2 linked regions of the Drosophila melanogaster genome follow. The protein of the gene in region 1 interacts with the protein of each later gene in a pairwise test. Each region holds a gene or a part of one and is shown on either strand. Other genes may lie near its edges. The genes, in order: Boh1 and Boh2.

Region 1 (3,637 bases):
ACTAAATATAAAGGATATTAAAAAAAACAGCTAAAAATCTAAGATTTATCTTTATTTTTCAAAATCGTTGCAGAGAAATAGTGATCCTCTTCTTTTTGCTCTTATATCAGGGGAATGGACAGCTAGTAAATTTTAAATAATTTCAAGATTAAATATTTTATTATTTCAAATTGGTAAGGTAGTGTTTTGTGCTGTAAATTTTTTATACGAAGAATGGCATTTTTCAATGTTTCTGCTACGGTCACACCAATTGGATGTTTACAAATTTCGTTTACGAATTAAATAAAAAAAAATATAAATAAATACAGAAACAACTAAGGATGGCCCACTACAAAGGTGCCGCCAGCGAGGCGGGCCGTGCAGCCCAGCTGATGAAGAAGCGGGAGATCCAGCAGCAGGAGATCGAGTTTCGCAAGAAGAAGATCGAGGAGGAGCTCAAGCTGGACAAGATTGAGAACAAGTTTGCCACCCACTACGATGCCGTGGAGCAGCAGCTCAAGTCCTCGACCATTGGTCTGGTCACCCTCGACGAGATGAAGGCCAAGCAGGAGGATATAGTGCGGGAACGGGAGAAGAAGCTCGCCCAGAAGAAGGACGAAAAGGATCGGGAGAAGCAGCGCGCCCTGGAGGCCATTCAGGCGGAGAAGAACAAGCAGAAGCGGCAGATCCAGGCGCTGTCCTTCAACCTGGACGACGACGAGGAGGAGGAGGAGGAGGACGACGAGGATCACGATAAGAAACAGCTGAAGATTAAGCAGGAGGATCAGCCCAAGCCCAAGTGGACGGAGATCAAGGAAGACATTTTGCCCATAAAGAAGAAGAAGATATGCAAGAATCCTGACGTGGACACTTCCTTTCTGCCAGATCGCGAGCGCGAGGAGCAGGAGAACAGACTGCGCGAGCAGCTGCGTCAAGAATGGGTAATGCAGCAGGCGGAGCTGAAGGACGAGGACATCTCCATCACGTTCAGCTACTGGGATGGCTCCGGCCATCGGCGGAACGTGCTGATGAAGAAGGGCAACTCCATCTACCAGTTTCTGCAGAAGTGCCTGGAGCTGCTGCGCAAGGAGTTCATCGAACTGAAGACCGTAATGGCCGACCAGCTGATGTACGTCAAGGAGGATCTGATCCTGCCGCACCACTATTCCTTCTACGACTTTATCGTGACCAAGGCACGCGGCAAATCCGGCCCGCTCTTCCAGTTCGACGTCCACGACGATGTGCGCATGATAAGCGACGCCTCCGTGGAGAAGGAGGAGTCCCATGCCGGAAAGGTACTCCTCCGCTCCTGGTACGAGCGCAACAAGCACATCTTCCCAGCCAGCCGATGGGAGCCCTACGATCCCACCAAGTCCTACGACAAGTACACCATCAAGGACAAGGATAAGAGTAAAAAGTAGTGCTTAGGGCAGTTTCTGCCCGAATAATTGTACAATATAATAATGATTGATTTAATACATCAAAACAAACGAAAAATAACTACAATTTTTATTTGATTTTTCCACCAGATTTACAATCAGTTTAATTAAACTATTATAATAGGCATTGAATGAAATATAAAATATATAACAAATTTATGTTTGCTTAATACAATTTTGAATTCATTAGAAAATGTCATACTTCTCATAAGAATACCCCTAATTATTTAAAATGGCACTGTTAAGAGAACTTGTTGCTAAACAAATTTGGTAGAAATTTTAGTTTATAAACACAGTATAATCAGAGAACATGCAGTTATTCAGCACTTCGTATTGATTGCCATGAAAAAAGAACTGTTAGATTTATATTTTATTTTAATTTTTTAATATTCCAACTGTCATAATAGTCAAAAGAAGTCGGATATGGCGGGAAAAAAGCTAGCCCGCCAGCACCAATAGCAACATTGAATTTTTTGCGCCAGTAAAATTCGCGTCTTTTTATAAAAAGCAAGCGTAATTAATAACAAAAATAAAATAAGTTCCAAGTAAAATGTGAATTCATTTTTCGGATACGTATCGATTTAGTGCCATTTGAGAACCCCGAACCAACGAAATGTACCCGGCGCAACCGGCAAAGGTGGCGTTGGCCGGTCAACCGATATCCGCCGGAAAACCACCACGCCACAGCCCTGTTCAGATGAAGTCTATCCCTTTGCCCGTCTTCGAGCTGCCGGAATACGTGTGCGTGGAGACCAAGTGGGTGACACGCAAGTACGCGATAGAGAATGGCATTCCAGTGAAAGAACTGCATGCCCCGATCACCAATGGAGGCGCTACAGAGTCTCCCAAGAAATCCGTACAGCAGAAGAGACTCAACGAGGTCACTGGAATGTTTGCGAACGAGGCTATGGTGCCGCGCAGAGAGCGCGCCATTCAAACAGAGAATGCGGGCACTAAGGATGCGGGCATTCAATGCCGTCGCGATTCGGAGGAGTGGTATTTACCAGAGGAACGGCCAAAGGATACCGGTTCTGAGGCCTCCAATTCCGACAAATTTCTCACCTACGTGAGCGAGAACACATTCATATTTCCCAACGGCATGATGGAGTGCGCGGTGTGCGGCGATGTGGCCAAAACCTTGCTGGAGCACCAGAGCCACATGACCGCGCACTATGGACCTGGTGCTCTGTGCTTTCGCTGTGGTCAGCGTCTGGACCACCAGAAACAATTGAAGCAACACAGTCTGAGCTGTCCCGCTCTAGCGCCCAGGAAGTCATCGATGCTCTTTAAATGCCCACATCTACTCTGCAACGCCATGAGCCACTCAGAGATGCAGTTGCTCAGGCACCTGAGAAACCATAGCGGCAGGAAGTGCTACAGATGTCTTCAGTGCAAACGTTACTTCAAGACCACCACCTCTCTTTTGGTACACCGAAAAAAAGAACAGAGTTGTGCCAAGGCGAAAGTGGTCGTCCTATTTCGCGAACACAACGGGTTGCCCAATGGAAGAGGTGATCCCAGACGTTGCTCAGTTTGCTTGAAGCGTTTCAGCAGCGAGCGGGTATGCCTGCGGCACCGGAGACAGTGCATCCTTGGCCATTTTAGACGGCTGTCCAGGGTCCTCAAGAAGGAGCTATGAACAGCGTATAGAAATCTTGACCTAGCTGGTATTTATTAGTACATAGAAATCGATAACAATAAAGCGAATAGATCCTACGAAGCCTGGACGCCGTGAGCCTTTTTCAGTCCCTGGAACAGCATCAGTTTCTCCCGGTTAACTTCCTTAAGCGTCTGCACCGCCAGCTCCAGTTGCACCTTCTTCAGCGCATGTTCGCTGGCGATGTACTGCTCAATGAACTTCAGGCTGATCTCATCGGCGGCGAAATCGTGCTCCGTCTTGCCAATGGCCGTATGGATCTCCTGCTCAATGTTCTGCTTATTGTCATGTCGTCGGAAGACGCTTCTTAGCTCCGCCAGGGCACTTTCCGCCGGCGTGGCATGCAGTTTGCCCAGTTCGGTCAGCGTTGCCTGATACTCCACTGGGATGTTGTGTAGCTTGTAGCTCAGAGCAATCAGCTCCACGGCATTGTGCAGATAATCCCGACGGATCATGTCATACAGCAGGTCGTCGATGCAGCGGTGCCAAGCGTAGAAGAAGGCCATGGGTCCAAAGTGGCGGGTGGAGCGCAGAAGATCGAACTCCTTGGACTCGTTGAGAT
Region 2 (3,803 bases), on another chromosome or scaffold:
TCATGTTGCTCACATTTCTGAGCCAAAACGCAATGGAATTTAATTAAGTTAACCCTGCAGGTGCCGACGGTCCTTTGTGTGCCGTTTTTTTTATGTCGAAGGCCCCAGGTACCCGTCTTGAATTCTGATTAGTCACGGCTATCAAAGAGTAAAAACTTTAGCAACAATATGTTTTAATATTGTTATATTTATTCGCAAATGCATAACTTGAAAGGCTATTTTGTAGATATTAAATGCAACTAATTTGCCCATTTTGTTAATATGTTGACAGACTACAGCCCATAGATTAAAAATTAATGAGCTCTGAAAAATGGAAACTTTTGTTGTTTTACAAGTAGGCAACTAGTTCTAACCAGCAAGGATTACGGAGTCAGAGAAGCTCTAAAGGATGGCCCACATTTATAAAGATTTGATAGAAGAATTGATAGACCTGGTTTGATCTGAATTCTACCACCCCCTGAGTTAAACTTTATGGCCAAAATGGAGTCTGCATGTGAGCATAGGACCAACCATGTGACCATTGGATGGATGAGGGGCAGGAGAGCTGATGGGATGCCCACAGGCATCGCATGCTGAGTCAGATGGGAGTGCATCTTGCGCATTTGGGCGCGATGGAGATGGAGATCGAGGATGGCGGATGGACGTGGACGCCTGCACTTATTAATGCTTAATAAATGGCATTTCATTTCTTATTATTCCCGGACTCGGGACGAAACGTGTTGGAGGATTTTATTGCACTGCCTTTCTGCCGACTGCAGTTGTTGTCGTGGTTAATGCGAGTCGATATATTGGCCATGACTAAGGATGCAGATGCACGAAGGGCCTGGCCTGGCCTGGCGTGGTCCGAGTTGGCCCATTCCAATCCATTTCCAGACGGAGTCAGTCAGTCGCTGTGTGCTAAAGTAATTATTTCATTTGAGCCAACAATGAGGCTGCAACTCTGAGTTCGCCGAGATGGATGATTGACGAGTGGAAATTAAAGAAGCTGGCGGCTGGAACTGTCCAGCCCGGTCCAGTCCAGTCCAGTCCGGTCCGTTCGCTGTTTCAGTACTAAAACCCGCTGCTCAATGTCCGATCCGAGCAGCATCTTTTAACGACCAGCGTTCGCTCTTAAAGTACTTGGAATGTAAATGAAGCGGGTGCAACTCCATTCTACTCCACCCATCATCCGATCCGTCGTCCAGCTCCATTTGCCCCGTTTCGAGGTCAGCGCGGTGGTCGTTGCACCCACGCGCCATTTCCCAGACACCTGAATGCTCTCACCTCGATTATGTATGCAAATTATTTATTATCTCACTCTGCGAGAACTTAATGTGTTAAGAAGGGCCCCATTCTTAATTGTCTTCATTAGCTATTATGGTCGCAAGCTTCAAATATAGTTTTAATTAATGTTTGTTCAGACAACTATAGACATAAAACATATACAAATAATAAGTTAGTAATTGAGCGATTTTTTAGATTGCAAGGCAAAAATAGAAATGCGTTGTATATGTTCAACTTAAATCTTAATTACTTTTACAAGCTAAGCTATACTAGCATTTATGTTCTAACAACTAATATTTAATAAGTAATAGCCAGAAATATCTAAAAGCATTTTTTGCTTTCTTGCAATCGCCAAAGAATTTTCGAATTTCCCGCTTTACGCTTATCGGTCTATCAACATGCGCAACGGCACTCTGGTATTTTATGGTATTTTTCGTGGTATCTTCGGGAAACCTGTGATTCCCTAACGCGTGGTTCACACTACAAAAAAAAAAGACAACGCTGAGTTTTTAACATTAAAAACGTTTTTTAAACCACTAAAACGAGAAAAATAAATAAAAAATAAGTTTGTGCGTGATCGAAAAGCGTTGGCCGATTTGCAGAGGAGCAGGCAATTCACAATCAGCTGCCGTGAGAACTGTCGTATAGCCAAGACAATGCAGCAAACAAATCCGGCTTCTGGCGGGGATGCGCTGCTTCCATTGCGCACCTGCAACACCACCGGATGCAAAGTGGCCACTGTGGTGGAGAAGACGAAGAGGAAGTGCTCCCAGTTCGTGTCCGCGCCGTACATAATGCCCAAGCCACTGGTAGTCAATGGGCACACATCGATCTTTCAAGTGGGCGGCGAAATGGCCCATATGGGCGACATTCCGGCGCTCTCGAAAATTAGTGATGGTGGACAGCTAGTATACCGAATAAAGCCGGGCACCCATGCCCATGTCATCAACTATGTGATCATCGACGAGGGCTCCGACTCGCTGGAGAAGGCCAGATCCGGCGACCAGGAGGCCATGCGTCTGCTGCTGGAATCGCAACGTGACAGTGCTGCGTCCAAGCTACAAAAGTTTTTAACCAACCATAAGGGAACTCCGCCATCGGGCTATATTTCATCGCTAATACTATCACGGCCAGTGGCCAGCGTCTCAACGTCTGCGGGCACTCCAGCGGCCACTGGCCATGTGACTACTCCTCAAATCCATCCGAACTTCTCCATCGCCAGCGTAGAGGGTGCAGTACCATTTAGACGCGCCGTTCCACCCTTGGCGGTGAATCCTTCAGCTCCAGCTCCAGTTCCTTCAGGCCCTCTCCCAGCTGTCAGTGCAGTTCAAGCTGACTCCGTGGATCGCCTTCAGGCGGAGCTTGTCGAGTTGCGACGTACGGTGGCGCGCTTGGAGGAGAATAGTCGCCGCTAGATGACCGACTTCCCTTTGCGGAGGAATACTTTAGTTAAGCCAAAAACGCTTGGGTCAACTACTACAGCGACCTACCCTAAATATAGTTAATCTAGGCCAATAAATTTAGTATAACAATATTGTGTGTTTCCTAAATGTATATCCACATAAATCTAAAGTTATTCAATAAAAAACTTATGAGAAGTGGGATTGCTTAGCTCATAATCATTTTAGATCGTTATCAACTTATGATCTGCTATATAAATTACATAGATGTTTTCAAACAATTAAGACTGGAAAAATACAAAATTGGTTAATGTTTAAAGGAAGAATACTTCATCATCACCAATGCAGTTCTGTTTAGCAATGATAATCATTACCAAAGTTGAATTGAAATATGTTTAATAAAAATCTATCGGAAAAATAAGATAAAAAATTGAATAAATAAATCTAATGAACCCAATAAGCTTTTGTCATTATATAAGTACGAATGATCCTAAAACCCGTTCCATGCCGAAATCATATCAGTTTCGCAAAGGATATTAGTTTCTGGCAGCCAAACGGGCCAAACATCAAAGCACTCAGGTTCAAGCTGGAAGTGCCGCAGCGCAGACCTGTCCAGAGGAACAGGCGGAGTGCGGACGAGCCCAGTTTCCGATTCCTGGAAAGGTACTCTGATCGCCAAGCCCACGAGACGGGGGACTGGCAAGGTGAAGGGGCATCAAATCCAAATGGCCAACTGCGCCGATTTACTCTCTGTTTTAGGCAAGTAGTGCGCCACTTTGAAACGTTGCGATGGCGTGCCACATGCCTCCTGCTCTCCTTAAAAAAAAAATCGCCATTTTTCGAACTTAACATTTTTTATGTTGGCAGAAAGTGAAGAGACCGAGTCGCGTCTTAAGGAGCCGTAAACGTGGCATTTTATGTGTCATCAACGGAGGCGGCGGCGGCGGCGGGTTCACTCTCGTTTCGAGCGCGAAAACCTTGCAATCGAACGTAAATTAATTTTTATTGCTTGCAAATGCAGGGACTGTCCGGAGTCGGCCATCAAATTATCCCAAACCCGATCCCTGCTGCCACATGAAAGGTGTCCCCATGGATGTCCGTGAATGGACGGGGTATGTAGCATAAACAGACGAAATTACT

The links.
Region 2: the proteins of Boh1 (region 1) and Boh2 interact in a two-hybrid assay, tested with the Drosophila melanogaster proteins (2 studies listed by BioGRID).

Annotation. Positions count from the first base shown.
Region 1 is NT_033777.3:27,917,678-27,921,314, reverse strand, and holds Boh1 (buddy of Hmr 1), read left to right. Parts: upstream 1-1,854; 5' UTR 1,855-2,031; coding exon 2,032-3,057; 3' UTR 3,058-3,131; downstream 3,132-3,637. Other genes in the region: CG12259 (uncharacterized protein), read left to right, coding at 321-1,400; mRpS22 (mitochondrial ribosomal protein S22), read right to left, coding at 3,132-3,637.
Region 2 is NT_033779.5:11,177,313-11,181,115, forward strand, and holds Boh2 (buddy of Hmr 2), read left to right. Parts: upstream 1-1,719; 5' UTR 1,720-1,919; coding exon 1,920-2,678; 3' UTR 2,679-3,118; downstream 3,119-3,803.